Oryzias latipes: one gene and its partners. The protein of the gene in region 1 binds, or shares a complex with, the protein of each later gene. Links are inferred from orthologs where the notes say so. Each region holds a gene or a part of one and is shown in the gene's direction. Other genes may lie near its edges.

The links.
Region 2: meaf6 (region 1) and ing5 share a complex: the UniProt entries of both Homo sapiens proteins name them as parts of the HBO1 complex. The link is inferred for Oryzias latipes from reciprocal best matches to the Homo sapiens genes MEAF6 and ING5.
Region 3: meaf6 (region 1) and ruvbl2 share a complex: the UniProt entries of both Homo sapiens proteins name them as parts of the nuA4 histone acetyltransferase complex. The link is inferred for Oryzias latipes from reciprocal best matches to the Homo sapiens genes MEAF6 and RUVBL2.
Region 4: meaf6 (region 1) and ing3 share a complex: the UniProt entries of both Homo sapiens proteins name them as parts of the nuA4 histone acetyltransferase complex. The link is inferred for Oryzias latipes from reciprocal best matches to the Homo sapiens genes MEAF6 and ING3.
Region 5: meaf6 (region 1) and brpf1 share a complex: the UniProt entries of both Homo sapiens proteins name them as parts of the MOZ/MORF complex. The link is inferred for Oryzias latipes from reciprocal best matches to the Homo sapiens genes MEAF6 and BRPF1.
Region 6: meaf6 (region 1) and jade3 share a complex: the UniProt entries of both Homo sapiens proteins name them as parts of the HBO1 complex. The link is inferred for Oryzias latipes from reciprocal best matches to the Homo sapiens genes MEAF6 and JADE3.

The regions. Positions count from the first base shown.
Region 1 is NC_019869.2:19,899,799-19,904,842, forward strand, and holds the start of meaf6 (chromatin modification-related protein MEAF6), read left to right. Parts: upstream 1-1,840; 5' UTR 1,841-1,984; coding exon 1,985-2,074; intron 2,075-3,275; coding exon 3,276-3,391; intron 3,392-3,478; coding exon 3,479-3,566; intron 3,567-3,642; coding exon 3,643-3,688; intron 3,689-3,773; coding exon 3,774-3,963; intron 3,964-5,044.
Region 2 is NC_019862.2:3,235,806-3,240,786, forward strand, and holds the start of ing5 (inhibitor of growth protein 5), read left to right. Parts: upstream 1-1,967; 5' UTR 1,968-2,295; coding exon 2,296-2,332; exon of another isoform or gene 2,333-2,413; intron 2,414-2,473; exon of another isoform or gene 2,474-2,662; intron 2,663-4,593; coding exon 4,594-4,665; intron 4,666-4,833; coding exon 4,834-4,981. Other genes in the region: plekhb2 (pleckstrin homology domain-containing family B member 2), read right to left, coding at 287-370, 577-616, 716-818, 914-1,066, 1,475-1,511. UniProt on the Homo sapiens protein: Component of the HBO1 complex, which specifically mediates acetylation of histone H3 at 'Lys-14' (H3K14ac) and, to a lower extent, acetylation of histone H4. Component of the MOZ/MORF complex which has a histone H3 acetyltransferase activity.
Region 3 is NC_019872.2:21,690,310-21,695,349, reverse strand, and holds the start of ruvbl2 (ruvB-like 2), read left to right. Parts: upstream 1-1,718; 5' UTR 1,719-1,828; intron 1,829-2,600; coding exon 2,601-2,655; intron 2,656-2,826; coding exon 2,827-2,882; intron 2,883-3,321; coding exon 3,322-3,463; intron 3,464-3,561; coding exon 3,562-3,691; intron 3,692-3,768; coding exon 3,769-3,835; intron 3,836-3,940; coding exon 3,941-4,047; intron 4,048-4,155; coding exon 4,156-4,249; intron 4,250-5,040. UniProt on the Homo sapiens protein: Possesses single-stranded DNA-stimulated ATPase and ATP-dependent DNA helicase (5' to 3') activity; hexamerization is thought to be critical for ATP hydrolysis and adjacent subunits in the ring-like structure contribute to the ATPase activity.
Region 4 is NC_019881.2:24,132,722-24,137,721, forward strand, and holds the start of ing3 (inhibitor of growth protein 3), read left to right. Parts: upstream 1-1,695; 5' UTR 1,696-1,787; coding exon 1,788-1,815; exon of another isoform or gene 1,816-1,872; coding exon of another isoform or gene 1,873-1,873; intron 1,874-1,956; coding exon 1,957-2,028; intron 2,029-2,977; coding exon 2,978-3,078; intron 3,079-3,155; coding exon 3,156-3,221; intron 3,222-3,479; coding exon 3,480-3,576; intron 3,577-3,643; coding exon 3,644-3,715; intron 3,716-3,801; coding exon 3,802-3,918; intron 3,919-4,001; coding exon 4,002-4,165; intron 4,166-4,248; coding exon 4,249-4,436; intron 4,437-4,501; coding exon 4,502-4,691; intron 4,692-4,767; coding exon 4,768-4,806; intron 4,807-4,880; coding exon 4,881-4,997; 3' UTR 4,998-5,000. UniProt on the Homo sapiens protein: Component of the NuA4 histone acetyltransferase (HAT) complex which is involved in transcriptional activation of select genes principally by acetylation of nucleosomal histones H4 and H2A.
Region 5 is NC_019865.2:17,244,705-17,249,108, reverse strand, and holds part of brpf1 (peregrin), read left to right. Parts: coding exon 1-180; intron 181-1,930; coding exon 1,931-2,233; intron 2,234-2,354; coding exon 2,355-2,606; intron 2,607-2,706; coding exon 2,707-2,854; intron 2,855-2,988; coding exon 2,989-3,122; intron 3,123-4,404. UniProt on the Homo sapiens protein: Scaffold subunit of various histone acetyltransferase (HAT) complexes, such as the MOZ/MORF and HBO1 complexes, which have a histone H3 acetyltransferase activity.
Region 6 is NC_019862.2:28,223,721-28,228,921, forward strand, and holds the start of jade3 (protein Jade-3), read left to right. Parts: upstream 1-1,845; 5' UTR 1,846-2,058; intron 2,059-4,304; 5' UTR 4,305-4,373; intron 4,374-4,469; 5' UTR 4,470-4,480; coding exon 4,481-4,529; intron 4,530-4,604; coding exon 4,605-4,687; intron 4,688-4,782; coding exon 4,783-4,940; intron 4,941-5,029; coding exon 5,030-5,201. UniProt on the Homo sapiens protein: Scaffold subunit of some HBO1 complexes, which have a histone H4 acetyltransferase activity.

The DNA.
Region 1 (5,044 bases):
TCATTTTCTACCACCTTCGGAGGTGTTTCCCCATTTTGACCTTGGGGTTTCTAGTCCATATTCTGCACACATGTTCCTGTATATTATTCCAGCCACTTGATTGTGGCGCTCCATGTATGCTTTACCTGCCAGCATCTTACACCCTGCAGTTATGTGCTGGATTGTTTCAGGCGCCTCTCTGCACAGCCTACACCTTGGGTCTTGTCTGGTGTGGTAGATCTGAGCCTCTATGCTCTGGTGCTCAGGGCTTGTTCCTGAGCTGCCAGGATGAGTGCTTCGGTGCTGTCCTGTAGGCCAGCCCTTTCAAGCCATTGGTAGGACTTCTTGACATCCGCCACTTCAGTTATGCTCCGTAGGTACATCCCATGCAGTCCTCCCATGAGGATCTGTCCTCCACTGCTTCCTTTGCTCTCCATTGCCTGAGACATTCACTGAGCACACTGTCAGTTGGGGCCTTGAGCTTGATGTATTCATGCATGTTGGATGTTTCATCCTGGATAGTGGCTTCTACGCTCACTAGTCCTCGGCCTCCTTCCTTGCGGCTAGCATACAGTCTCAGGGTGCTGGATTTGGGATGGAACCCTCCATGCATGGTGAGGAGCTTTCGTGTGTTAGCATCCATGGTCTGTATCTCTTCCTTTGGCCATCTTATTATTCCTGCAGGGTATCTGATTACTGGCAGTGCGTAGCTGTTTGTTGCCCGAGTCTTATTTTTGCCATTGAGCTGGCTTCTCAGGACTTGCCTTACTTGTATGAGGTATTTAGCTGTTGCAGCTTTCCTTGTTGCCTGCTCCAGGTTGCCATTTGCCTGCGGAATTCCAAGGTACTTGTAACTTTCCTCAATGTCTTCCATTGTTCCTTCTGGGAGTGGGACCCCTTCTGTGTGGACTACTTTGCCTCTCTTTGTCACCATCCGGCTACATTTCTCGAGCCCGAATGACATCCCAATGTCAGTACTGTAGATCCTGGTGGTGTGGATCAGGGAGTCAATGTCACGCTCGCTCTTAGCATATAGCTTGATGTCATCCATGTAGAGGAGGTGACTGATGTTGGCCCCATTTCTGAGTCGGTATCCATAGCCAGTCTTGTTGATTATTTGGCTGAGGGGGTTCAGACCTATGCAGAACAGCTGTGGGGACAGAGCATCACCATGGTATATCCAAAATTTGATGGACACTTGTGCAAGTGGCTTCCCATTGGCTTCATTTCCTATGAAGAGTCCTTTTGATGTTGTACAGCTCCAAGCATTCAGTGATCCACGTGTGTGGCATTGAGTCATAGGCCTTCTTGTAATCAATCCAGGCTGTGCACAGGTTGGTGTGTCGTGACCTGCAGTCTTGAGTGACTGTTCTGTCAACCAGGAGTTGGTGTTTGGCTCCTCTGAAGACTCTACCAATGCCCTTCTGTGTGTTTGCTCATGTATTGATCCATGTGCCTATTTATCTTGGTTACAATGATGCCAGACATGAGCTTCCATGTTGTGGATAGACAGGTTATTGGGCAATAGTTGGTTGGGACTGCACCCTTTGAGGGATCCGTCTAGATCAGGATCGTTTGCCCTTCCGTTAGCCATTCGGGTGAGTCCCATGAGCAGCTGGTTCATTTGTGCTGGCAGACGCTCGTGGAGTGCGGTGAGCTTCTTTAGTCAGTAGGCATGTAACATGTCAGGGCCCGGTGCTGTGCAGTTTTTCATACCTGAGACTCTTTCTTGTATGTCTGCCACTGTGATGGTTACTGGATTCTGTTCAGGGAGGTTGCTATTTTCTTTTGTCAGAGAGACCAGCCACTGGGCATTACTGTTATGTACTGTCTCTTTCTTCCATTTACCTTTCCAGAACTCAGTTCAAGTATAAAACAAGGTAGGAAGAGGGTCCTTTCACAACGCTTGGGCGCCACCTTGCGGTCTTATCTTTGTCGGCACCAACGCGTCTCCAGTTTTCCTGAGCGCGCGCGCCTCCTCCCGTCGGTTCCGGAACGAGCCATCATGTCGATGCACGCGAAGGCGACCCCGCCGCAAATCCCGGACACGCGTCGGGAGCTGGCGGAGCTGGTGAAGAGGAAACAGGAGCTCGCCGTGAGTCCGCAGTTCTGTTTCAGCGGGTTAAATGTTTTTTTTCGGAACCCGGGTTTAGCGCGCCAAGCTGAGATACCCGAGCATTAGCTTATGCTAGCTGAGCTAGCAGGCCGCAAAACCTTTATTGTGAATTGTCCTAACTAAGCATCGACCAAGAACAAAAACACTTTATCCTCACATCGAAAAAAACATTTAAAGTTTGTGTTTCTGCGTTTCATGTTTGAATGTTTTATTTTTTCACGTTTTTTGACGAACAAAATCCAAATTAGTTTACAGACCTGAAGCACGAACAGTGTGTTCTCGCGATACCTTACGTTTTGAAACTCTTTATTGTTCAACACCGTTGTTTACAGAGTGGAACCTACTAAGATTTAGTAGTGAAAAACCAAGTTACAATCGCGTTACATTTCTGTCATAGGTTATTTTTCTTATCTTTTTGCGACTTTTACTGTTTTCATCTCTAGTTGTGCTTCTAGTAATACTCTAAGTAATGGAAAATGACCTTTATTGTAAAGTACTAGTGCGTCACTTAAAATTACTTTTTTTGTCTAACATAAAACGTTTAACAACAAATTTGCTTAATTACCCAGTACTGTAGTAGTAGTTTTTTTGGTTTACATACTCGTTTGGTTTACATACTCGTTTTTTAACATGTTGTTATTGTTTGGACGACTACTCTTTAACTTTTGCCTCCTTAACATTATTTAAAATAATGTTTTGCTTGTACTTGAAAGATGTTTCCCGTCAATTTATTGACCTTTATTGACAATAACAAGCGTCAAATTCAATTAAAAAGTCTCAAAATGGAATTTTTCTTGAATTTAGTTGGAATGTATAAATGCATGTATCCATCATCTACCACTTCAAAGATAGAAAATGTTTTTCTAGTTGTATACTGACTCTGCAGTCTTGTGGATTTCTATAAACATTGAATTTAGTTCATAAATTGGAAAATTAGATGATTGGGTTGATCAACTAGGAAGAGAAAGACCAATTCTGGAGCTGAAAAATTCAAAGTTTACCTCAAGTGGCTAAATAATGAAACAATCTTTACCAGAACCTCAAGAGGATTTTCAAGTTTTTGATGGTAAAAATAAATGAATGAAATAAATTTTAAAAAAGCTATCTTTGTGAAAAGATAAGCACTGATCTTAGCTTGACCAATCAGAACGTCTGCAGTAAAACCGTTTTAACGACACAGGAGACGCTGGTGAACCTGGAGCGGCAGATTTACGCCTTTGAGGGCAGCTACCTGGAGGACACTCAGATGTACGGGAACATCATCCGAGGGTGGGACCGATACCTGACCAACCAGAAGTGAGTGTGAATGCGGCAGACTCCGGTGAGGTTAGATCTTCTGTGCGTTTGCTGATCGGGTCCTTTTCTTTTTCTGCGATCAATCAGGAACTCCAATAGTAAGACTGACCGGAGGAATCGCAAGTTCAAGGAAGCGGAGCGTTTGTTCAGCAAGTCCTCTGTCACGTCCGTCGCAGTAAGTACTTCCTGCGCGTGATGCGTTCAGCCATCTCATGTGAAGTTGCTCCTCAGTGGTCTCTTGTGATTGGCAGGCAGTGTGTGCGCTCGGCGGGATCCCGGATCACATGAACGAGAAGCGTGAGTCAAATTTGCCTACTTTCCTGGTGCCTGGGCCTCCTCAGAATGCCGGTTCTGACTTGTTGCCTCCCGGGGGATTCCCCAGGTGAGGCCGGCAGCGGCACAGAGAGCGATGCGTCTCCAGACCTTCAGAACCAGGAGAACGAGCCGAGTCAGGAGGACACGGAGGACGTGGACTCCACGCTGCACGACCTGAAGCCTCAGAAAGCCGCCTCCTCTTCCTCAGGCAGCCATCACGGGAGCTACAAGAAGAGGAAGAACAAGAACAGACACAGGTGAGGTGTGGGCGGGGTTAAAGCTGAGCCGCAGCAGATTCACCAGAACTTTTCTGTTTAAATTTGGAGATTTACAGCTTTAACAAGGCAAACTAATATATTTGTGTTATTAAGATCAAGAGAACAGATTACACTTAATAAAAATTACAATAATTGAACATTTTTACAAAATATGGTGATTTTTTTTTTTTTTTTTTTTTTTTCCGTCTTCTTCTGACTAAAAAAGTTGAAGTAGAAAACGTTCATTTCCTAAAAAAAATGCTCGTGTGATTGCTGAAGCTGGCTACAGATGATGATGATGATGATTAGGGCTGAAACGATTCCTCGAGTTACTCGACTTACTCGATTACAAAATTTCCTCGAGGAAAAAACTCTGCCTCGAAGCCTCGTTACATTCCTATGACGCGCACTATACGCAGGGATTTGATTGTGTCACACGGACCTTTTGAATTTAGTTGGCGCGATGGCGGAGAATAGATCTATAAATAAACGGCAGAAATTGTCTTAAGTGTGGGATCATTACACACTTAATAAAGAAGAGAACAAGGTGCAGTGTCTGTACTGCAAAATAGAGCTGGCATTCCACAACAGCACATCTTCCATGATTCAGCATCTGAACAGAAGACATCTGCGCGACCGCTGGAACCCCGACGCCTTACCCGCGCGTGCCGCCGGCAGCGAGCGAGGGGCGGCGGGCCGTGGAGGGGGCGCCGATAGGCAGGGGCTGGGACAGGCGGTAGCTCGCCTTTCGGCGGACCGCAAGGCTTCTTAACATTTGCATCAGAGCGGATCTTTAAAATCAAATGCTTGTTCATTTTACAACCACATCATTTTTGTTATGCATTATTTGTTTTGGTTGTTCAAAAACGCACACAAATCGTTTTATCCGATTACTCGATTAATCGATCGATTAAGTGCTATATTAATCGATTACAAAAAGAATCGATAGCTGCAGCCCTAATGATGATCATGATGAAGCACCGGAGGATCTTTTGAGGCTGAAACGTTTGATTTAAAAAAAAAAAGATAACTTGAACGAATGGACTGGGTTGGATCTTCATCTTCATCCTGTGGTTGTGTT
Region 2 (4,981 bases), on another chromosome or scaffold:
TTGCTTTTATTTTTCATCTGTAAACTTCATGGAAAATAAGGTTTGCTATGAAACTCTAAAGTATCACATGTAATTTACAGCTTTTTGATAAGTTATTGATCATTATAATGCCCATGTATCCCCCTTCTTTTAGGTTTGTATTTTTTGTTATTATTTTGTGATTGTTGTTTACCTTTTTCTGTGCCCGTTCTAATTGTAATTTTGGCTGTGAGACTGTAAACCTCAAGTTAGTCTCTTCAATAAATAAAGATTTAAAACAAAAATGTATGTGGTTTCCTCCTTTTACCTGTGGATGGGCGTATTCCGAGTAGGGGGGAGGAGCCGATTCCATGACTTCCTGTGTGAAGCCGACCTGCGGGGCTGCAACCACCTACACACGTCAGAGCAACAAAGGTTTCCCTTAAACCGTAACTCTGTCAGAAACGCCAGACAGAAAACGCTCACAGGTCTAAACTACAAGCTTCTGTTCCACTTGATCCCATCTGATTTCGTGTTCATTTTTAGATCAAATAAAAAAAAAAAAAAAAAATCAAGCTTAGTTTGAGTCTAAACGTATCAGACGATGAAAAATCTTACCATGTTAATCCTGGCATCTTGAAGCGCCATGGTCCATGCTCTGTGTTAAGAAGCAGGAAAAGACGTCAGTCTCACTAAAAGCTTCTCCACAGAACCCAAGAACTACATTTGATCAAAGGTGACACCTAAAGAGTCTTACAGAGCATCATCTGCACTGTCAGCACACAGGCTGATGACACGCCCGTCCCTGCACACTATCTGCAGCAAGGCATCACGGGACTTCCCCTCCGGGGGGGTCAGATCTGACAGGAAATGCAGGAAGGCCCACAATAAAAAAACTCAACGTTTAACTTTAAGGGTCAGCAACTGTCACAGTATCGCGGATGCTGAAATTCACCCTGGCATGCAGCAGAGTTGCGGATGTTGATGCAGCTGACTCTCATGTGGATGTCATCCTCCATGTCCCGCCTCTGCTGATCATTGTAGAACACCAGGCGTCCGTCAGCCCATAGGTCAAACCAGTTTCTCTTCCAGCGGCGCAGGATAGTACCTGCGATGAAAAGAAGCAGCTTCCATCAGCATCTGAACCTCTTTTTTATTACAATTAAATATAACTAATTGTCCAAAACATACAGAACAATAACAATGAGGATGCACATGCATTACAAAACATACATCACAAAAAATTAAAAATGTTCCAGGGCAATATTTAATTATTACTGTTTTGTTCTAATAAGATTCTAATTCTTTTGTTGTTACAGGGATTATTTTTAGAAACTTTAGATTTGTGAATATCAAACTTACCAAATATAATAAATTAATTTTCATCTGAAATTTGAAAACAACGTTGAAATGTATAAAACATTTTTTGTAATATTTCAGTTCCAAAATAGGTGACTCAATGTGTCTAGCTGCTCTTTGGGATGACCTGCATAGGCCGCGCATGCGCGTGACTCACTCTGTCTGTGAAGCCAACCGCTCTTCACCACAGCCATCTGAGAAGACACAACCAAACATGCTGGAAGTGAAACTCAGCAGAACCCCAAAAACGGACTAAATCGACAACAAGGCTCGATGTGACCTGAAATATGTTAGCAGTAGCTACAACTTCCGCTTTGACATGTTACATACATTCTACTAGATGCAGAAAAATTTCCCCAAAGCCGCATTTTAGCCGCAGCGTAAATTTAATACCAACAAAACAGTTTGGAGGCTCAAGCAGTCATAGATGCTATATGGTTGACGTACGTACGTAACCGCGCGTGTGACTCGACAATTCGTCAAAAGGCAAAAAATAATTTGCAACCAGCACGAGATGAGAAGCTTCTGGAGCGGACGGAGGGACCTGCCTGTTCCGTTAGCCGGACCGGACGGACGGACAGAGAGGCTGCAGGAGCCCCGCCCACCGAGACGTTTGTTTTGAATGACGCAACGCACCAGCTGACCGAGCTGGAAAGTGCTGGTAATCTGAGCGGGAACGCGCATGTGAAGGTCTCGCTTGGTCTGCGGGGTGGTGGAGCTGCCAGATCTTCGGTCGGTTTCCCGGTGTTTGGAGCGGAGCGCAGGTCGACTGTCTGCGGAAATACCGTCTAACTACAATCAGTCGAATGCTCTGGAGACGAGACGGGAAGAGAAAAGTTTGAGCGGCGGCGGAGCGGAAGTCCTACAACGACAGGGACCGACGGGCGACCCGGAGTTACAAAACAAACTTAGCGTAGCTTGGTTTGGCTAGTAGTTTGGAAGCTAAAGAGCGCGCGGGAGCCGAACTCTCCGTCAACAATGGCTACTGCTATATACCTGGAGCACTACCTTGACAGTGAGTATCCGTAGAAGGTCCTGGAGGAGTTTTGGTTCGGGCTTCTTCGGTCTTTTTCGTCGCCGTGTGGCTGCGGGTAGTTTAGCAGACGGTAAAGACTAAAGTGTGTGGTAGTAGCACACCTAAACTGATTATACGTACATGTTTGTGACGTCACTTGGGTTGACTTGTGATGGCTTCACAGATTCACGCCGGAGCAGAAATATACTGAGACGAAACCCTTTTAGTTTAGTATTTCCATTGGAGTCACGTTTTTATTTATCTATTTTTATTATTGAGGGATTTTTAACTCAAGAACTGTTTTTCAACCCCGCGTGAAGGCGCTTCCGTTTGCTGCCGGGACTTCATGATGTGCAGCCTGTGCAAACCGCCTTTTTGGTTACTGCGCAGGCCCGGTGCCCCCCTGACTCCACGCCCTGCAGACGAGCCCTTCCAGCTGACGCTGGGTGGCGCTAGAGCGCTGTGCATCCTGTCAGCCCCACCATGCTGAGCACGACCATGATGTGGAACAGGGGCCACCTACATCCTTAGAGCAGCGTTTTTTAACCAGTGTGCCGTGGGAGATGGTCATGTGTGCCGTGGGAAATTGCCCTCATTCACTGATCTAAAAACATTTACCATCTCCAGGATTTCAGCTCAAAAGATCGGATACGTCTCAGATTCAGGACCACATACCCAAGGGGCCTGGGTCACATTTGAAAAGATGGGATCTGCGTCGTCCAGACTGTCATGAAAAGATCAGATACAGGTCACAGGGGGGCAAAAAAATCGGAATTGGGTCGTTTCAGTCTGTGGTGTGAACGTAGCCTTTGACGTCTTGAAACCACAACGAACACGCATCAAACAGTTTTTAAATATTTTAACTTAACTTTTATTACATCTTTTAGAAGAAACAGCTGCAGCTTCCAGCTTTTTCTGCCACAATTATCACAGAAATGCATGTGAGATTGTGGAGGGACTGTACATCAATACAGACTAAGAGTTTCTCCCTTTTCTTTATTTTTGGATGCTGGTGTGCCGCGGGATTTTTGTCAAGGTTTAAGTGTCCCGTGGCTCAAAAAAAGTTGAAAAACACTGATCTAGAGAGCAAGACTAGAGAAAGCCAGAAGGAGCTGCATTTCCAGAAGAAAATGCAAGGTTTTAACGTATATTGCTTAATGAAAATGAAACTAAAAGGGTAAGAATGGGCACAAAATAAAAAATTAAATAAAGAAATGTTCAAAGTTGACCATAAGTAAAGTAAAAACGGCAAAATAATAAAGATATTTTTGTGAAAAATGCCAGACAAGTTTCTGCACCCAGGATTCCCCATGTATTTCAATGGAGGCAAAAATCATGGAATATCTGGAAAAGTTCAAGGATTTGAAGGACCAAAAGTCATAACTGGAAAAAGCTGAAAGAGCTGAATAGTTAAAATAGCTGAAAAATTGTAGAAGGAGATAAGCGGCCAAAAATGTCAGAAGATACTATGATAAAGAAAAAAAGAGAAACAGGAAAATAATGGGTTTATTTATAGCACTTAACCAATAAAAGAAGAGAATCCAGACGTCAACATAAACCTCTATGCGTGGTCTTTCAGCTACAGCTTGTTTGAGAAGCCATAACACACTGATGTATACATCCCTTTGAAACTTCAAATGTCTTTGAAAACATGTTTTTGGTGGCGGATCTTTCTTTATTTCTTACTCGTTTTCCTGAGTCCTGGTGGAAAATGCCAATTAATCGCAAATTTATCGATGTATCGTGATTTCAAGCTGTGCAATATCCATATCGCAAAAGTCAGCGACAATTTCAATAAATGGTAAACCTTAAATGTGCTAAAACAATCTTATGGCAACGTGAACTATTTAATGAATTGAATAAATCTCTTTATCCATTTGACCAATCAGATGGAGCCCTTCCTGTTGTTGACCAATCAGATGGAGCTTTCATGTTAGATGTTGCCCTCTTAATTAGACGAAGGTCATTTGGAGAATAATTTGAGGTATTTTGACCCTTATTTAAATTATACTTTGCAGTGAAATGGAAACGTTTTTGTTGTTTTGCTATTTGTTCATTTATCGCAAGTTATATCGTCATCGAATATTGATCACTAATATCCCATATTGCGGGTTTTCCTCATATCGTGCAGCCCTATTTGATACTATCTGTTATATTTGGTGACCGGCTGTTCTGGGGCAGAACAGGCATGTCTCCAGGGGAAACTACCCAATGTCTGTCCAGCGTCATGATCCCATGTCTCCCTGTGTTTACTTCTCCAGGTATTGAGAACCTGCCGTGTGAGCTGCAAAGGAACTTCACGTTAATGCGGGACCTGGACAGCAGAACTGAAGGTAGGGGTTTTATCCATTAACCTTTTAGCCAAAGGCGACAGAAAAGGAACTTTTAGAAGATGATGGCTTCTTCACTGAAACCCATCATCTGTGGTAGACATAGAGGTTTTTCTGCTTTCCTTTGAGTTGTCCGTCGTTGTGGCTCAAAACATTTCTGCTCCTCTGCAGAAAAGAAAGGAGAGATTGACAGACTGGCAGAAGAATATATATCCAACGTGAAGAACCTGGCTTCAGAGCAGAGAGTGGAACATCTACAGAAGATTCAGAACGCCTACAGCAAGTGCAAGGAGTTCAGTGACGACAAAGTTCAGCTCGC
Region 3 (5,040 bases), on another chromosome or scaffold:
ACATTTAGAACTACTAGACACACCTAGATTTAACATGAAATTGAACCTCGTACGGAAAGGACCTCACACTCATTTGCCTGTTTGGAGGAAGTGCGATCTCGGGGAACATCCTGTTCTGTGGCAAGTCACAGGAATTTACCCCGCCACCACTCCTACACTGTATGACAGAGGCATTGTCTTTTGACAGTTCACAATCAGCAGTGCCTTGATGATAGACTAATTTGTCGTAAAAGGATTTCATAAAAGTAACTCCAATAGTTGGATTTAAGCAAAGATCGACATCTGGACCTAAAACGGCACAAAAGACAAAAGAGCTGCTCCATGAAGTGTTTCCAAAGTCACTCAACCCAACGGACTCTGGTCCGTCTACACAAAAAATGCAATTTGTGAGTGCCTCTCAGCAATTCAAGTGGGTGCTGCTGAACTTGTTTGCCACACCCAACAACTGACGCCTGAAATGAAACAACGATGAGTTTGCTTCATCCTTGTCTCTTTCATTTCAGTCTTGAAGAACCTGTCATTTTCAGCATCCATCTGTTTCCTGAATGAAACATTATGATCTGGAACCCTTCAGCCTTGAGGGTTGAATTTGATGATTTATGGAAAGGATATTAAGACCCCCTCTGTAGCACTTCAGAGGGGTCTGCTCCTTCGAGTTATTTCGTCTAAACATTTTCAACAATTTCTCTGAGGATAAAGAGATTATCCTCAGACTTGGCAAATAAAAAAGGGAGATGCAGTTTTTTTACAAGGTAAATAATAAGAAACAACACCCATTCCTACACTTCATACCTTATGTAGGGGTTGTTTACACTTACTCCCTCTAACTGAAATATCTCTACAAGCATCATTTAGTTTCATGTGGCTTCTGTCATCAATCCTATAACTTTGGTTTATTAGTAGATCTCTTACTATAACTTTGTCTATATGAGGATCCTTGCACAACATTAATCTTGCATCCTCTAGTGGAAAAATCTGTGCAGTGCTGCTGGGCTTTTCTTCAGACTAATCAGGTTTAGTCACATCCTCTGCAAACCAACAGGGTTTCTTTTGGGTCAAAATGGAAAGTTTTTGAAACCTCTTAGTTTCTCTGACCAGTTTTGGTTCAGGAGATCACCTATGGATTATATAAGTCATGATAAAGAGAGAAAATTACCATAAGGACTTCAAGCACACATTATAAAAGCAGTGCATATTAAGGGAGTACATGTTTTTTAATGCATGATCATATTTTTACATTTGTTGGGAAATAAATATATGAATATTTGTGATGTTTTAGGTTTAATTATCTTTTTTTCAAGGTAACAGCATGATAAGTTGTTTAAAATGTGACGTTTTCTTATGCATTTCTTTAAGTTTAAAGTATTTTTTTAAACTACAATTTTAGATTCCTTGGTTTTATTTTGTTCAGATGACTGCAATCCAGGTCTTAAATTATTAGCAACCTGAGTTTATTTTTCTTTCTAATCTTTAATCTGTATTTGAATGCTTAAAATTTCAGTTCTAATAGTTATAGGTATCAAAAATGCCAAAAACATTATTTGTTAGGTAGTAAATTTGACACACAGAAAGATAATTTCGAAGTATTTAAGTATTTTCAGGTTATCATTATCGTGACGATCAAGACAAAAACGTAGCTTTCATCTCAAAAACAAATCCGGGCTTTTACGCCAGATTTGTAATTCACATTTGAGTCTATAGAGGGCAGTCCCAATAAACTCTAGTAGCGGAACTGAACGGCTTCGCATGTTTCTTGTCGGACACATTTAACCAGTACTCCCTGAGAAAGAAGCGGCGCTTCTCACGTTTTTTAAGTGTGGCTGCGGAGGTGAGTCCTGAGTTTGTAGTAGATGTTAAAATCAATTTGGACTTTAATATTTTCACCCAAGTAGTATAGCCAATTTATTTTTAAGTACTTCCGCGTGTCATGCAGGCTTTTATTACCCGGCTAATATGGCGTGTGCTGTTGTTTTGCGTTATGAACGGTGTGAATGATGCTAGCTTGTTTGCTAATATCGTTAGCTGATGTTACCTGTCGATTTTCTCCCCCCGTATTCATATTAGAAAATAAACTAATTTCAGTGAAGTGTCAATTTTTCTAAACCTGATTTACTAATACTTTCCTTCCTAGATATGTTTCACAAATATGCGTATATATATTTTAAAATGTCAAAGAGTGTTGACTAAGCTTTGCTGTTGTGTTGTGTGTGGTCATTCATTGCTGTCACTATGACAACGGACAGGACAAGTGGAGCATAAAAGGAATTCCACATTTATATTGCTTTGACAAAGTCTATGTGGAAAACACTAAAACATTGGTGAATGGAGGATGCAAATTTTAACTCTCTTTGGAAACGATAAACATCCAAAAGTGTCATCGATATTTGAACACACACATAAGGAATTCTTGCTGTTCTTTTTCATAAGCAGGATTTTTAAACAAACAATAAAAAATGCTCTTAAGATTTAGTCAAAGATCAACGAAGGCCTAAACTCCTCTGAAAATATTTGTTCTTTTGTTTACGATGAGGCAAATTGTTTTAAAAATGTTTCTTTGCATTTTTTTGTTTTCTTCTTGTCATTGATGTATTATTCTACAGATGGCAACTACAAAAGTGCCAGAGGTTCGGGACATTACACGGATTGAAAGAATAGGTAAGACCCCATGCAGATTTTCAACACTTTAGAAATAAATGGTAAGCTTAAATTGAATGGTAAACTTTAGAACATGCCTTATCTCTACATGAGCTGTGTGTATTTATTTTTGCTATGATTTCCCGTATGTTTGTAATATTTTGTGTAATAGTTTCATCTTTGTGTGGTTAGGGGCCCACTCTCACATTCGGGGCCTTGGTTTGGACGATGCTTTGGAGCCCAGACAGGTAACGTGCAGCACTTCTGTTTGTTGATCTCTGTTTTGACCCAAGACTTCAGTAGTTTTAGGTGTTTGTAGTTTTGATAAAATTATGGCTTTTTTTTGTAATTCATGTCCTTTAAAAAGGCAAAAACTTAACAGAGGAAAACATATTTGGATATTTTTAAACTGCTGTTAAACTTGAGAGGTTAAAATGTTTCGAATGTACCTTTTAATGTTTTGTTGTGTGTGGAAACAACATGAAGCAGTATAGAGGTAGTCAAGTAGCAAAGCGAGACTTGATTCTAAAGCCCTGTTGTCAGCACTAAACCCACATGTTGTGATTCCAACAGGAAAGTCTTTTAGCAGCTTGTTTAAAGCATTCAAAATGTCCCTTAAGTCAAAGGATAAAATCCGAATGAGGCATATTTGCTGCTGAACGAGTTGAGTTCCCTGTTCACCTGCAGGTGTCACAGGGGATGGTCGGCCAGCTGGCCTCCCGTCGAGCAGCAGGGATAATCCTGGAGATGATCAAAGACGGACACATCGCCGGCAGGGCCGTTCTGATTGCTGGCCAGCCGGGCACGGGGAAGACGGCTATTGCTATGGGTGAGCATGGGACCAGAAATGATGCATACAAGTTTCCACCTGAGGCAAAGTTCTGTTGGCTATTTGAGGCTTGTTGCATGTTTTTCTTTCATCTACAGGTATTGCTCAGTCTTTGGGCCCTGACACCCCCTTTACAGCTCTGGCTGGAAGTGAGATCTTTTCCCTGGAAATGAGCAAAACTGAAGCACTGAGCCAAGCTTTTAGAAAAGCTATAGGAGTGAGAATCAAGTAAGTATATAAACAAGGTTTAGGTTGTTTTTTTTGGATAGAAATTAAGTCCGCTCTCTTCCCCCCCATAAATCCAGAGAGGAGACAGAAATCATTGAAGGGGAGGTGGTAGAAATCCAGATTGACAGACCCGCCACTGGAACAGTAAGATCCTTTCACTTCATAAACAGTCTTTCCATACCATAGCTTTAGAAAACGTTGATTTATTTAGCTGATTCGCCTCATGTTGAGCTGGTTTGCTTTAATCAGGGTGCAAAGGTGGGGAAGCTGACTCTGAAGACTACAGAGATGGAGACAATATATGACTTGGGGAACAAGATGATTGAAAGCCTCAGTAAAGAGAAAGTTCAAGCCGGGTGAGTTCATCTTCTCCTCATAAAGCAATATAAAGGTTTGGGTTTTGTTTTTTTCTCAGTCCTATCTAAATGGAGCTTTTCTTGTTTGTCTTTAAACACACTTTTTAGTGATGTTATTACCATTGACAAAGCCACCGGGAAAATCTCCAAGTTGGGGCGCTCCTTCACTAGAGCCAGAGACTACGACGCCATGGGAGCCCAGGTAAGATCTCTGCATGGGACAGTTGAATACCATACTTTGAATTTGGGTTATAGTCAAATACAAAGTCCACCTGAAGCCTCTGTAAGTGTTATCACTTGAAGATTATAATGAATACTATGATTTCAGGGTTCCCTTGCTATATCACAGTTCACCTTTCGCTTTCTTTTACTGCAATTCTGCACGTTTTTTTTTTCTTTTTACAGCACTGTGTTGTGCGTCCTGATTGGCTGTTGACCTTGTCAATTAATCCCCTCTCTGTTCTTTACACAATGTGCTCATCTTACCAGAGTTACATCAATCTTTTGTCACAATCAGATCTTTGTTTTCATTCTATAAAACAGAACTTTGAGAGTTTAAACAAGAGAGACAAGTGTGAAAATGTTCATGTTTGTCTGAGAAAAGTGTAAAAAGTGTGTAGTGAGGAGGTTTACGGCCTTGAAACATCTGTAATCCTACTTCACGGATTTCACCTATCGTGGGTTATTTTTAGAACGTAACCCCAGCGGTAAATGAGGGAACACTGTACTTGAAAATGTAACTTCAGAACTGGTTAATCTCAAAATCTTGGGTTATGATGACATTGATTTGCATAAAACTTATCTGAATATTGTTTATCCCGAGAATCCTTTCTGCTCAAATGAAAAAGTGTCTCAAATAATGAAGACTTGAAATGAAAAAAAAAAACGTGGATTCTGTCATTTAAGCTTTAAGTTTCACTCTGTCAAATGAACCACAAATGAGTAATATATAATAAAAAATAAAAAGATTTAATGGACCACAAACTTGGTCAG
Region 4 (5,000 bases), on another chromosome or scaffold:
CAATGTCCGTTTTATTTGTGTTAAAACTGTCGAAGATTTTTATTTTCTGTCCTCTGACTGGCAGCACAGTGCCGTTGACATTTTAGTCTGGTAATTGTTCTCTGATGCTACTTTTTATAGAATAAATGGGAGATCCTGATTACAAGAGTGAAGAAAGCAGTTGCAGATACATGGAGAAGTTTTTAAAACGAAAAAATGAAGTACAAAGTTATGCCAGTCCCCCTTCAAAGGCGAAATTTATACGAAAATACAACCCTGATTTTATAAAGTTCGGCTTTGTGAACGGAGGCAGTGAGGCAGAGCCCAGTGTGTTGAGTGTGGGCTAACATTATCCAATGAAGCACTAAAACCGTCAAAATTAAAGCACCATCTGGAAACCAAACATCCGAAGCTCATTGGAAAGCCAGTGGATTATTTCAAAAGAAAGGATGATGGGCTTCAGATGCAGAGGGGGTCCATCGTGTCACTGACTGGCGACGCTAAGTGTGCGTTAAAGGCCAGCTACCTCGTAGCCAGACGTGTGGCGCAGAGTAAGAAAGCGTTCACCATAGCGGAGGAACTGGTTCTGCCTGCCGCTGTGGACATGTGCCGTGAGATGATTGGTGAGGCTGCAGCAAAGAAGCTCAAGACCATCCCGCTGTCGAATGACATTGTGAGTCACCATATTGCTGACAGGGCCTCAGACATTGAGCAGCAGCTTCTGGGGAGAATAAGACAGAGCCCCTTTTTCTCTTTGCAGCTGGACCAGTCGACTGACGTCACAAATGCTGCGCTGCTGTTGGTTTTTGTTCGCTACCGGTGGGATAGCTCTTTGCAAGAAGACATTCTGTTTTGTGGAGAATTTCCAACTCGAGCTACAGCTGAGGAATGTTTCCGCTGCATGGATAACTACTTCACTGAGAATGGCCTTGACTGGCAGAACGGTGTTGGAGTGTGCTGTGATGGCGCAGCGTCAATGACTGGCAGGCATCGCGGTGTCATCAAGCAGATACTTGATCTTGCGCCAGAAGCTAAATGGACCCATTGTTTTCTCCACCGTGAAAACCTTGCAGCAAAAAAAATGTCTCCAGAGTTCCATGAGGTGATGGATGTCACTGTGAAAACCATCAACTTCATTCAAAGTAATGCTGTGAACTCCAGATGTTTTGCTCAACTTTGTGAGGGCATGGAAGCAGATCATGTCCAAGGCAAGGCAAGGCAAGTTTATTTGTATAGCACAATTCGTACACAAAGTAATTCAAGGTGCTTCACAAAACAGAAAAATGCATTAAAATCACAATACATCATAGAAATAATCAACATAAAATTTACTTTAAAAGAAAAGGAAGAAAAAAAAAAGATTTAAAAAGAAAGGAAGGAAAGAAAGGTGCAGATAGGCAAAACATAGATCGGTGATTTCCTTATGAAGTGATTTTTGGTTTATAGCAGCGTTTCTGTCCTGATATTTTCATCACAGACAAACAGACCCGTTGCTTAAGGTCTCAGCAGCTAAATAATCTCAGGCCAAGCCCACCTTCTGTTTATAATATTAGCGAAAATCTTAAGTAAAACATCTTTATTTGGTGCAAAGTCCAAAAGTATGCAAGTTAAACTACTATTCCCATGATGCATTTCCTTTAACAACAGGAAAAACCGCGCCCTCATTGTTGAACCAATCCGAAAGCCGCGTACGTCACGCAGGCGCAGTCTGACCTCATTTTTTTTCCAGTGTTTTTGTCAGCGAGGCAGCGCCATATTGGAAGAAGCCGTTTCTGTCCTAAAACGGCCAAAGCGCGAACTTTGCCACCATGCTGTACCTAGAAGATTACCTTGAGAGTGAGTACCGGACCGGGGCGTCGCGGCGGTACCGACTTCGGCCCGTTATGTGTGCACAGTGTGTGTCTATGTGTGGCCGCCGCGTGCATTTCCGTTAGCCTAGCTGCAGCGGATGCTAACGTGTTTTTCCTTTTCCGGCAGTGATCGAGCAGCTTCCCATGGACCTCCGCGATAGGTTCACGGAAATGCGGGAGATGGACCTGCAGGTGCAGAGTACGTATTTCCGCCAACCACCGGGCTCGGCTGGGACATCTGCCGCGGCACGGAGACTCGAACCGCCAGCGAGCGGTTAAAAAAGGCCAGATTACCGGAGCTAACACACCTGACATGTCCGTGAACCCGGTGACACCTCAGTCACGTCAACGGAACTTATCAACCTTTCAGCTCGTTTAATAATTCACTAAGTGAGGTTTTGTAGAGCTGCGTGCGCCACTTTACGCATATGTGGCTGAGATTCTGAAGCCCCTCCCCTTTTTGTCAGGCGGTCATGGTGATCAAAGCACATCCCTTCATTATCCGCCGCCTTTCATGTTGACGTCATGACCGCAGCTGCTGTTCAAACTTTTATCACATCAGTATTTGTTAGTTGAGGCACATTCAGTCACTCATTTATCGTTATCCTGATATCAAGCTGTGATAAATGTAACTTTAAATGTGCTCAAACAATCTTATGGCAGCTTGAAGGATTTAAGGAATCACATAAATCCATTAATGCATTTGACCAACCAGATGGAGCCCTTTGATGTAGGGGGGGGGGGGGGGGCATTCGGAGTGTAATTTAACGTACACTTTAAATTTAATTGAAGCTGTTGCAGTGAAATGGAAATGATCTATTTAGATAGTTTGCTATATGCATCACAACTTATATGGTCATTGCAATATTCATCAGTAATGTTGGAAATGGCGAGTTTTGCTCATCTCGTGCAGCCCTAGTTCAGTTGTAAAGTCCTCCAGGGTCATCTGTGACCCCTAGCTGTTGGAGGGTCAGAGTTAGGTGGACTGACCCCCCCCCCCCCAGTCTCAGATCTGACCTCTGATGCAGTTGCAGGTGGAAGAACTTTGGAGACAGTAAGAGAGTTCTTCTAGGTTCCTGTCTGATCCAGAACCAGCACCAGAAAGCTGATGTCATGTGCTTTAGTTCTTTCCCGCCTCTTTGTTTCAGACGCCACAGACCAGCTGGAGCAGAGGGTCATTGATTTCTTCATCAATGCAAAGAAGAACAAACCTGAGTGGAGAGAGGAGCAAATGGAGGTTATCAAGAAGGTCTGGAATCTGCTGCTGGTTCTGGAGGAACCCGAAGGAACCTGTCAGATCTAGATTCTGTTTCTGGTGTGTTTCAGGATTATTACAAGGCCCTGGAGGACGCAGATGAGAAAGTACAGCTGGCCAATCAGATTTATGATCTGGTGAGTGGAACCGTCTGCCGCTCTGACCGGATGGTCTCTGACCTCCTGCACAGTGACGGTCCAGCTGGGTTTGCCGGATCGCCTGGAGGTTCCACCGTAGCAGGACGGAGTTCCCTGACAGTTTTGTCTGTCCCTAACACCACTGGGGAGGAGCTTTCCTCCCTCATCACCAACAGACGCCCCGCAGCAGCTGGACCGGGTCTACCTGCTGCACCGCGTCCAGAAGCTCATGTGACCTGTTGTCTCCTCTGCCTCCAGGTGGACCGGCACCTGCGGAAACTGGACCAGGAGCTGGCCAAGTTCAAAATGGAGCTGGAGGCAGACAATGCCGGCATCACAGAGATCCTGGAGAGACGTGAGTTCGATTCCAGAGCGACTCGTTGGGGCTGAAAGGCAGAGCGGTGACCTTGTGCTCTTCTCAGGGTCACTGGAGATGGACAGTCCCTCCCAGCCGGTCAACAACCATCACATGCACTCGCACATAACAGCCGAGAGTAAGCTGCTGCACGCCCTCAGCTCCGCCTCGTGATGTCAGGACCTCTGCAGCAGGTTCACGTGTCACCGTGTCCTCTGTCCACAGAGAGGAAGTGCAGCGCCCCCGCCCACCACACGGTGGAGCACATTCCTGAGAAGAAGTTCAAGTCTGAGGCTCTGCTGTCTACACTCACCTCGGATCCGTCCAAGGAGAACACGCCAGGTAGCATCTGCAGATAACAGCCATGCAGCTGGAGGGCGGAGCCTCCACGCAGCTAACTGCCCCCCCCCCCTCCTGCCCCCTAGGTTGCCGCACCAACAGCATGTCTGCATCCACCAACAGCGCCTACAGCCTCAACTCCTCTCAGCCCCTGGCTTCCTACAACCTGAGCGCTCTGCCCGCAGGACCCGGGGCCGGCGCCGGCGCCATCACCTTGGCGGCGGCGCAGGCCGTACAGGCCACAGCCCAGGTCAGAACCCGACCCCCATCCTAAAATCGTGCATGTCGGCCCCGCTGGTGGCGCTCCATCCCCCGTCTGTTCCGTCCCATCAGATGAAGGAAGGCCGCCGGACCTCCAGCCTCAAAGCCAGCTACGAGGCCATCAAGAACAACGACTTCCAGCTGGGCCGAGAGTTCTCCGTGTCCCGGGACGGCTCCTACTCCTCCTCCGCCCTGGCCTCCACCCTCACCCAGACGCTCACTCCCAGCACCACCTCTGACTCCAGAGGTCGGAAGTCAAAGTAAGTTACCCCCGTCCCACCGCAGGTGTCTCGGACCCGTCTGACCTCTAGTCCCTGTTTTCCAGGAGCAACATCAAGTCTTCCAGTCACCAGTCCTCCTCTTCCTCCTCCTCCTCCCTGTCCTCCTGCTCCTCCTCCTCGGCACTGGCTCAGGAGCTCTCTCAGCAGGCGTCGGCGCTGCCGGAAGCTGAGGCTAACAGCCAAGTGGACTGGACCTACGACCCCAACGAGCCCCGGTACTGCATCTGCAACCAGGTATGCCCGCTACCGCGCTGTGAGGTCACTTCCTGTAGGTTCCGCTGTTAACTGCTTCCTGTTGGATCTCGTCCAGGTGTCTTATGGGGAGATGGTTGGCTGTGACAACACAGATGTGAGTATGAGCTTTGGTGAGGTTCTGGAACCTGGTTGAAAGGCGGTTCTGAAGGATGTCCTCTTCCTCCTCAGTGTCCCATCGAGTGGTTCCACTATGGCTGTGTGGGCCTGACCGAGGCGCCCAAAGGGAAGTGGTACTGTCCACAGTGCACGGCCGCCATGAAGAGGAGGGGCAGCCGCCACAAATAGACA
Region 5 (4,404 bases), on another chromosome or scaffold:
CAGTCATAAGGGCCGCGAAGCGGCAAGCTGATCGGATAGGTTTCGACTATGAGAGCGGGATGCACCTTCACCGGGAGACTAGCCCAGACACCCGTCGGGAACAGGAGAGAGACCGAGAGCGGGAACGAGAACGAGAGAGGGACAGAGAAAGAGAGCGGACGCTGTCTTCCAATGAAGATGGTAGGTGCTTCTTTTTCACTTTTCCTAAAGATTTTTTGGTCAAAACATTTGAAGAAGAGGAAAAAAATAAATGTCCTAATTTGTAGAAAACATCTGGGTCATTCATTTTTGAGGAATTTGGATAAGATAATTTACACAAGTGGTCCCCAACCCCTGTCCCGAGGACCAGTGGCTGTCCGTGGGACAGATGGTACCAGGCAGCCGTGGGGGAAAAAAATGACCTACATTTTCTCAGTTTTTTAAATAATCTTATTTTGAAGGAAGTTTTCTTTTAGAAAGCTACTGGATTCTCCCCACCACATCTAAATCAGTCATCAGACATGTCAAGCTGCTTGATCACGTGTTAAAAAATCTATTCACTATTTTCTGAAAGCAGCTGCAACGACCACTAAATAAAAAGATAGCAAAAAATAAACATATTTGGAGAATTTCGAAACACAGAAAAGTGCCAATGAGGAAACAGAAAATCCGCCTTTGACTTTAAAGAAATCAGAAAAAAAACAGGAGTCTTTACTCTAAATATGGATTTATTGCAACAGTTGTTCTCACACACCATAAAAATGCATCATATTCGGCAACCATATGTCTAATGTTACAGGGATGCTGACTGTAAAGTTGATCAAGTGGTGGATTTATTTTTATTTTTAGAAAATACCAGTTTTAGCGACTTTTTTTTACTTGTTTTATTTATCCATCACACCGTAAGAGTCTGATAAGACTGAAGTGAGCTGATTTTTAGCTTCCACGTTGTAATTTCTGGGTTAAGGAAAAATCTATATCACATTGTAATGGCTTCTACATAATATGTAGCTTACAAGTAAAGTTTAAAGCAGATGCGGATATTTTATAGGAGATGAAGATAAACTTTACTCTCACAAGTTAAGGGAAAGTGGGGGCTTAAGAAAATAAAAAGGACTCCCACTTCAGCCACTTGCAGGCCAGACCGTGAAAATGTAGTCTGACATTAAACCCCTCTGAGGCCTGAAAAAGGTTGGGGACCACTGATTTACATAATCCATTCATCTATTTATACCTGCTTCATCCTAAAGCGGGGTTATGGTTGTTGCTTAAGCCTAACCCAGCTATGATGGGATGAAGGCAGGTCTGACCCTGACATGAGAGAATATCACACATGTACTATTGAGGGGCAACTTGGAGTCCCCAAATATTCAATGAAATATGGTTCTGGACTGTGGGACCAACCTATCTGAAAAGAATCCACACAGAAAGGATTCAGTTGGGATTTGAACCAGGGACATTCTGGCTTTGAGGCAACAGTGCTGACAAGCTCATTTTTTCTCCCTTTTAGTCTCTCAAGAAAACCTTGGTTGTGATCTGGCACTTTATAAATGAACTGAATTAAATTAAATTACAAAACACTGTATCCCAATTTGCAACATATTGTTTGTTAAAATGTTGATATAACAACAGTTTTGTGCAGACTTTGATGCAAAGAAAGTGTTCAAATCTTGGTTGCAGTGAATGCATATGGCCAATAGATGGCGTATGTCATTCATGCACTTGAATTGGGCCTAAAATGCAGCCACAGTTTTTTTAACTGCATTCACTTTACTGTATATTCCTAAAAAACACAAAATATAATTTTTACAATTTGTTTTTTCTTTCTTTTTGAGAAACCTAAATAGTTGTTTACACTAAAACAGCCATTTTCTCTCTGTTTTCCACACATTCAACAGTTTTGATGTGAAGCCAGATTTTCAAAAGCTATGACAATCCCTGCCTCCCACAGAACTGCTTCTGCCAGAGAACAGGCGGCGGCTGCCTCTGGAAGAGCAGCTGCATTACCTGCAGGCGCGCCTCGACGAGGTCAACTCAGGAAAGCACAGCATCGGTCAGTCTCGCAGAGCCAAAGCTCTAAGAAAGGAGATCAGCGTGATCAAGAGGAAGCTTGCGCATCAGCGGGAGGGAGGCTCCGGTATGGGGGTCAGAGAGTCTGTGGGTGACCGGGGCTTGTCTCTCCCTCATCACTCATCTTCTGCAGGACACCATGATGAGGGTGGAGAGAGCAGCAGTCAAGAAATTGGAGGAAAAGGTCAGTCTCTGAGCATGTTTTGAAAATGCTCAGACACTATCACAATATTTTGACTATCAGAAAAATGAACATTCGTTTGTGTCTGTGCAATAGGACCTAACTGTATCTTCTTCTTCTCTAGCACCAGAGGTTGGACGTAGGACGTCCGTCCTTTTCTCTAAGAAGAACCAGAAAATGGCTGGACCCCCCAAAAGGCCAGGGCGTCCCCCAAAGAACCGGGATGCTGGCTATCCTGGTGCTGGGGTGAGCCAAAGCCCCATCGGCCCCCCACAGCTGGCTTTACTGCCAACGGGCAAGCCGAGGAAGAGGCCCCGAAGCCCCCACACCAGCTCCAGCTCTGACAGCGACAGTGACAATGACGACTTGCTCCCAGGTAGAATCTAGGCCGTTTTCCAAAAAAAGAAAATTCATGCTTGTAGTGTTTCATTTGTAAGTCCCACACTGACTTTCTTGTCTGTGTCTCTTACTCTCAGGTTTACCAAGTAACGGCTTTGATACAGGAAACCAGCCTGTGACGGAAAGTTTCCGTGTGTACAGAAGTGAGTCTCGTCTCCCTCGTTCAAGCTCAGATTCTGAGTCCACAACCAGCAGCAGCAGCAGTGCAGCATCTGACAGGACCAGGTACTTTGCTTTAAACCCTTTGTTGCAGTCAAAGAGACCCCCAATTAGACGTAGTTTCAGAGCAAACAAGTAGGCTTTTTATTTGTTCGTTTGTGTTGAACTGGTAATGATATTCTTGTGTGTTTTTGTCTCAGCACAACCCCGTCTAAGCAGGGCAGAGGAAAGGCATCATTTCCACGCTCCGCCTTCCATGAGGACAGCAGTGAGGAAACTTCCGGCACTGAAAATGATTCATACTCTGTTGGAGGATCGCGGAGCGTCTCACATTGTAAGCTTAGTTCCCCACAGACAAAGCCGCACAGTGCGAGTGTGGGCGTTTATTTTGAGTCCTGATCTTATCTCATTTAACCATTCTTTCTAGTACTGCCTTTGTATGTGACTTCATGTCTGACACCACTTGTCTCTAACTTCAGAATTCGATGCTTGTATAGAAAAATAAACATCAAAATCTGCCTCTCCTCAAGGTTAAGTGAGAATCCAAATCTTTTTACATTTAATAAAATTCCCACTGGCGAGTGGAGATGCCAAACGTTGGTTCTCCAGAGTGGCAACTATTCTTCTAGCTGTCTTTGCCTTTACTGTTGTTGGGTCAGGAGCATTCAGTCCATCTAAACCTGGACTGATTTAGCACCAAGTGATGCAGGGAGAACTGGAAAACAGGCAGGGAGGAAGTTCTTGAGGACCAGATGGTCCTTTCCTCACCTGAGTAGATTATGAAGCCACTCAAACACCTGATGACCTGCTTACCACCTGGCGTTTTGATTGGGTTTTAGCAGACCGTCCAGCTTCTGTTTCTCATTAAACTTAGATTTGGCAGAAATGCTTTAACATGAAAACGTAGTCATGGTTTATTTCCTGTTTTAGCCATGATGTATGTGTTCAATTCATTTATGGGTTTTCCTGCATTCTGCTTTTAAATAGAGATTTTTGTGATTGTAACGGATAAATGTCTGAGACATCATTTAATCTTTTTAATGTGCTAAAACAAAACACGTATTTATTTTAGAATCATTCAGTGTTAATGAAAATAGTTCCATGCAACGCTTTTTATTGCAAAATTTAAAGCTACACATCAAAGTAATGACTCGCATGTGCAACCAAACAGCAGGTTGTGCAGCAGAGTAGCCAAATGAGCTAGCAGTATGTTAGTCAGAAGATCAACAACAGAGCATTCCCACTACCACTAAATGAAGGCTTTAACACTGGAGATGTTGCAGGTTACTCCTAAATAGCACACACTCTTTGACATACCGTAACTCCTTGACAAATCACGCGATCAACATGAATCAGTTTATTTTGAATAGCAGCTTTTCATATCGTCTTTGCACCCATATTCAACACATTGCTAATGTAAAATGTTGCATTACGGCGCAAAGCCACTTTCCTCTGTGACAGAATCAGCTGGTTTACGTTGATTGCACGTCACTGCTGTTAAGTGTGAAGCATCAGGCTTCTTTCTCCTCTTCAGAATCTGCTAGAATTACATTAAGTATGTTAAAAGTAGAAGAGTTACCGTAAAGACTGCTCGAATGCTTTAAATGCTCCCATGT
Region 6 (5,201 bases), on another chromosome or scaffold:
GACACCTTTGACCCCTGAAGCAGCTCTGGCTTTTCTTATGAAAACATTTTCTGAATTACACAAACTAAATCGTGCGACAGGTAATAAATCCTTTAGACTGCGTTTTTTCCTCATTTTGATGCTCAGTTCTGTGCATAACGTGTATCTAATGTTGCTCTCAGCTTGTTCTTCTCAACAGGAGGGCTGAGATTGGACAAAATACTGTGGTAAATGACTAACTTTAGCCAAATGCCAGTCAAGAGAGTCATCTAAAAGAGTCTCTGACTCACATTTATTTCCTCTTTTTTTGTTAAAACTCAACCATCACTTAAATATACTACCATTACAATCAGAGGCAATGATAAATATGACTTTAGCAAACATGCATTTATTAAATCTGTGATATGAAATTGTACTTATCTGGATTCAGGAGGAGTATTTTACATGTGGAAACATAAAGGGAGTTTTTTTGTTGTTGTTGTTCTACATTATCAGCAATCACATTATATATATATTCATCAAAACAAAAGTTTTCTGTCTAGACCGTCAATCATGGTATGTACACTTTGAATCTTAGCTGCAAACATTACTGTGAATGGTTATTTCTTCTAAAAGGATTTGATTTTTTCTGTTGGTGTTCATTGAAACTCTGCTGTAATTTAGTTTTTTAATTCCTAAACATTCCTGCCTAAAGACAAATGAAATGGAAAAAAAAACACACATAGCACATGGATAAAACAATGAAGGCAGAGATGAGTTTTGGACGAGCTGTGATTTCTGTACACATATCTCTAAATACTTTCATATTTGTCTTTTCTTAACTTGTAGTTGTTTTTTTTTTTTTAATTCTTTTTTGGATAAATGAACTTTTGTGGCATTATGTTGTGCATATTTGAAACTTGCTGTATAGATGATTTGATAAGCCAAATCAAGAATGTTTGAATGTTTCCTTTTAGCAAAAGGAGCCTGTGATTATTTTTAAAATGTTTCTTTTATACTTTGTTTTTCTTTTTTTGTATAAAAATGTAACATCCATTGTTTTGTACAAGTTCATGTGTTTTACGCTGTTATAAATAGAGAAACCAAATGAAAACATCAATGTGGTGGTCTATGATAAATCTGGAGTCAACAACAGATTGTCATTACGTTATATAAATCATCTTTAGACGTGTCTATGTAGACTCTCATTCATCCAGGTTGATTCCATCATAGTAGTAGGTTTAGTTTTACTTTGTCAATTCAGAATTGACAAAGCCTTTTGGATAAGAGGTGAAACGTCTTCTGACTTTAAAAACCTTAAGTCCAGATGACAACCCCTAAACCTACTACTATGATGAAATCCTCTTTAGAGATATTGATCATTGTAATATATATATATATTTTTAAAATGGCTGAAGTAAACTAGAACAGACATCTAAAACGCTTTTCTGGGCAAAAGGAAGGGTTGTATTTTATTTTTGAGACCTGCCCTGTTAAAAAGCTTCTGAGGTCAATTTCAGCCATTTTAATCAATATAAATAGAATTATGCATCTATTTTAAAACATATGTAAATATTTAATGGTTGAATAACTTAATTTGTTGGTTTAGCAATACAGTGATTTTCTTTTTGTGGCCTTTTTTTTTTTTAAACCTAAAGCTGTGGAAGTTTGATTAATATAAACAGCAAATATAAAAAATGAGATTTTATTGAATCAAACATTTTATTGATCGTCTTTGCAGTTGCTAATCCATTATTTAATTTGTGTAGATACATATTAAAATAAATAAGAGCTGTTGTGTTTTTTAAAGAAAACTTTATTAACAAAAGTTAATATCCATAATATCCATAGAAAGAGATTGTTGTTAACCGGTGGAGTTTAGGACCTGGAGGGGGCGCGGCACAATAGTGTCGTTGTGCCGTGTTGGTGGACAGGCTGCTGCCTTAAGATTCCCCTTCTGTTGGATTTGGACCCAAAAAAGATCCAGCATTGAAGTCCCAGTCCGGACCGGGAGGCCCTCCTTTTATTAGCATCTGTTAGCACGGTCCACCTGACCGCATGTGGACGTGGAAAAGGCCAGCCGCAGCGCGTGGAGAGAAGGTAGGACGGGGGTGAATGTGAACAATATGCCCGTGTCTACTCTGTGTGCGGGCATGGATTTGCCCCGGATTCATATCCGGACCACGGGGCCCCGCTCCTCACCCTGCTCCCCCAAACCTGCTATGCGTCCCGACACTCCTGATGTATTTTAGCAACCACCTATTTTTCTTTTAGTTCGTAGCCATGTGTTTTTCCCCCTCTGTGGGACGCTCCTAGTTGGGCCATCCCGATGTTTGGCTCGCCGTCGCTCGGAAGTGACATCTTTGTATGACGGTGGCGCCATGTTTGATTTCAGCCCGCTTTGGGCCCGCGCGAGGCTGAGTCAGCGTGCGAGTTGGCGCCAATACTGCTCATAAAGCAACAACTTTAGACTTTTTTTCCCCACGTGTTTCACTGGTACTCCATTAAAGTTTACTTATCCAGATGCGGTATCAGCGCCCGCATGGTGTACAAAAGGAGTTTTAAATATGGCGGCATCATTAGTTTCCTACTGTTTTTGGCTTTCTTTGATGTGCTGATAAATATTCTGGGATCATTGAAGAAGCTAAATCAACAAATTTACATCTTCTTGACCCGCAGCTTTTGTTCTGTTTGCAAAGTTTATCATTAATTTAGTGACAACACTGATTACTGGTCCTTACCGTGAAGTTTTCGGCCCCGTAGTATTATCTGGCTGATCCCTCTTTCGCCTGGAGCATGCGCACATCTGTCACTCTTAGATCTCCTTTTTGTTTTCTTTTCTAAAAAAAAAAAACTTCTCTTATTCTTATTCGAAAGGAGAAAAGATATTTATATTTTATACTTTAAATACTTAGAATAAAAGCAAATAAAAAGTGAAAAAAAGTAATTGAAAAAGGTACTAAATATAAATATATACATGCATATCGGCAATATAGTGTATATGTGTGCTTGTGGATGACTTCATTCAGTTTAGAATAACAGTCACTGGCAAGTTTATGTCTTATTTCTATATTTGAGTTCCTGGAATTAAGTCATAGGGTTTATTGATTCTATATTTGTAGCAATTCAAGTTTTTTTTGACTGTGTGATTCTGTTTTTTTATTTGCTTGTTTTTAAATTGTTCCATATCCAGACTCCTTGAATTGAAACATATCTTTCCTTTTTTCTGAATTTTGACAATGAGACAAATCAAGCATCCTTTTAAACTATGATTATTATTCTTTTTTTTTTTAATATATGTTATGGAGGACATCTTTTTAAATTTTAATATTTTTAAAGACGGTGTAATGGACTGGATGGATCTCCAGCTTGAGTTTAAAGTCTGATGAGTAAAGGAAGCAAAGTGAGTTGGCTCAAGGGCACTTTGGCATTTAGACCAGACGTTAATATTCGAACTTTCTAATCTACCCAAATAAACAAAAACAAAAAGGAGAAAACATGCAGTTCAGTAAATATCTAGGCTAAAATAAGGCAGGTAAAGGGATTTTTTTCAGCCTTTGTATAACACATTTTAACAACAGGATCAAAATTAACCATTAAACTTCAGCTTTATTATTATATCAACACGTCGTCATCGTTCTAACAACAAAAACTATATTATGAATTACTATATATTAATACTTAGTGAGATATTACTCAGATTTAGGTTGTTTTTATTGAATCATTTGAACAAATTCAAAGACACAAACAAACATGACAAATCAAAATCAGGTTGGCGTCCTCCAGATTCATTTACATCTTGGAAAAAAAAGCCACAGTGTTGCGTTATTATGTAGAGGATGTATGGTTGACCTGATCTTTGCTTGAAACTTATGTTGGATTTTTCAAATCCTCTCCTGTTTACCTCCTGCAGATGTGAACACCAGTCGTGGTTAAACATGTATAAAGAGAAAACTGTCCATGCGTACTTTTTACTCAGCAGTATAACCTTACTGCGGTGTGGAGCAGAGCTGGCTGCAGGCCCTCTCATCCTCCTCCTCGTCCTCTTCCTCCTCATTCACTCCTCATGGGGAATGTGAGGCATGTCCTGTCTGTTCAAACGGTGTACTGTACACGGCCCTTAGCAGTTTGAAGTTTAAATCACTCATTTATTGGGCTACAGGTGTACGAATGATGTCTATATATATATTTTATTTAGTTCGTACTTGCATTCCTTTTTCTTTATACATTAAAGTATCTAATTGTCTTTTTTTGGGAGGATTCTGCAACAAGAACATGGTCATCAGAACTGTCATCACTAACTCTTTGATGCTCTTATTCTGAAAATAACTCCCCTTTTTTTGCAGATAAGAAGCAAAGTGGGAATTTGGCAACTGGAAGAATCTACTAGCATGCTTTTCAATTGGAAATTTATGGTAAGCAATGGTCTTTTTCTTGAACAGTCTCTCCATGGCCTTCCTTGGTCAGTGACGGCCTTCTGATGTGTGCTCCATCCTCTTGTTCTCCCACAGGATGTTACAGGATGAAACGTCTCAGGTTGTCCAGCAGCAGCGACAGTTCTGACAATGAAAGTAGGTCACGTGTCTTGGACAGCATTTTTTCTCTTAATGTACCAACATTATTTACACTTTTGGGTCTTCGTCTAGGTCCTTCAACCTCCTACTTCTCTTCTAACAAGTATGATAGCAAACCTGGAACCCCCGCCTCCAACCCAAAGAAACCGGCTGAAGTATGGGCATCTTTTGTACGGTCAGACTGTACGCTCACTGTGGAGACGTCTCAGGACCGTGGGCTTGACTCCTGGTGGCCTCCTGTCTCCCACAGGTGTTCCGAAAAGACCTGATCAGTGCCATGAAGCTGCCCGACTCCCACCACATCTCCCCAGAGGACTTCTACCTGCTGGCAGACACCTGGAAGCAGAAGTGGGAGAAAGGAGTTCAGGTGCCGGCGAGTCCGGACACCATCCCGGAACCCTCAGTCCGGTGGGTGGGCCGACTTTAGCAAGCTTCCGCGTGAAACCGGATCAAGGCTCCTTTCAAGGCTGCTGACACATTTGTTGTTAATTTCTCAGGGTGATCGCAGAGAAGTCCAAAGAAATGCTTTTCAGCCACCAGAGGAAGAACATCCAGTGTTCGGGTCAGGAATCTGCAGAACCGGGTTATGTGAACATCAGAGAGCTGGCAGAGGCTATGTGTCCATATGATCTGGATGACATGGACCTTTACTGGCTGCAAGCGCTCAAC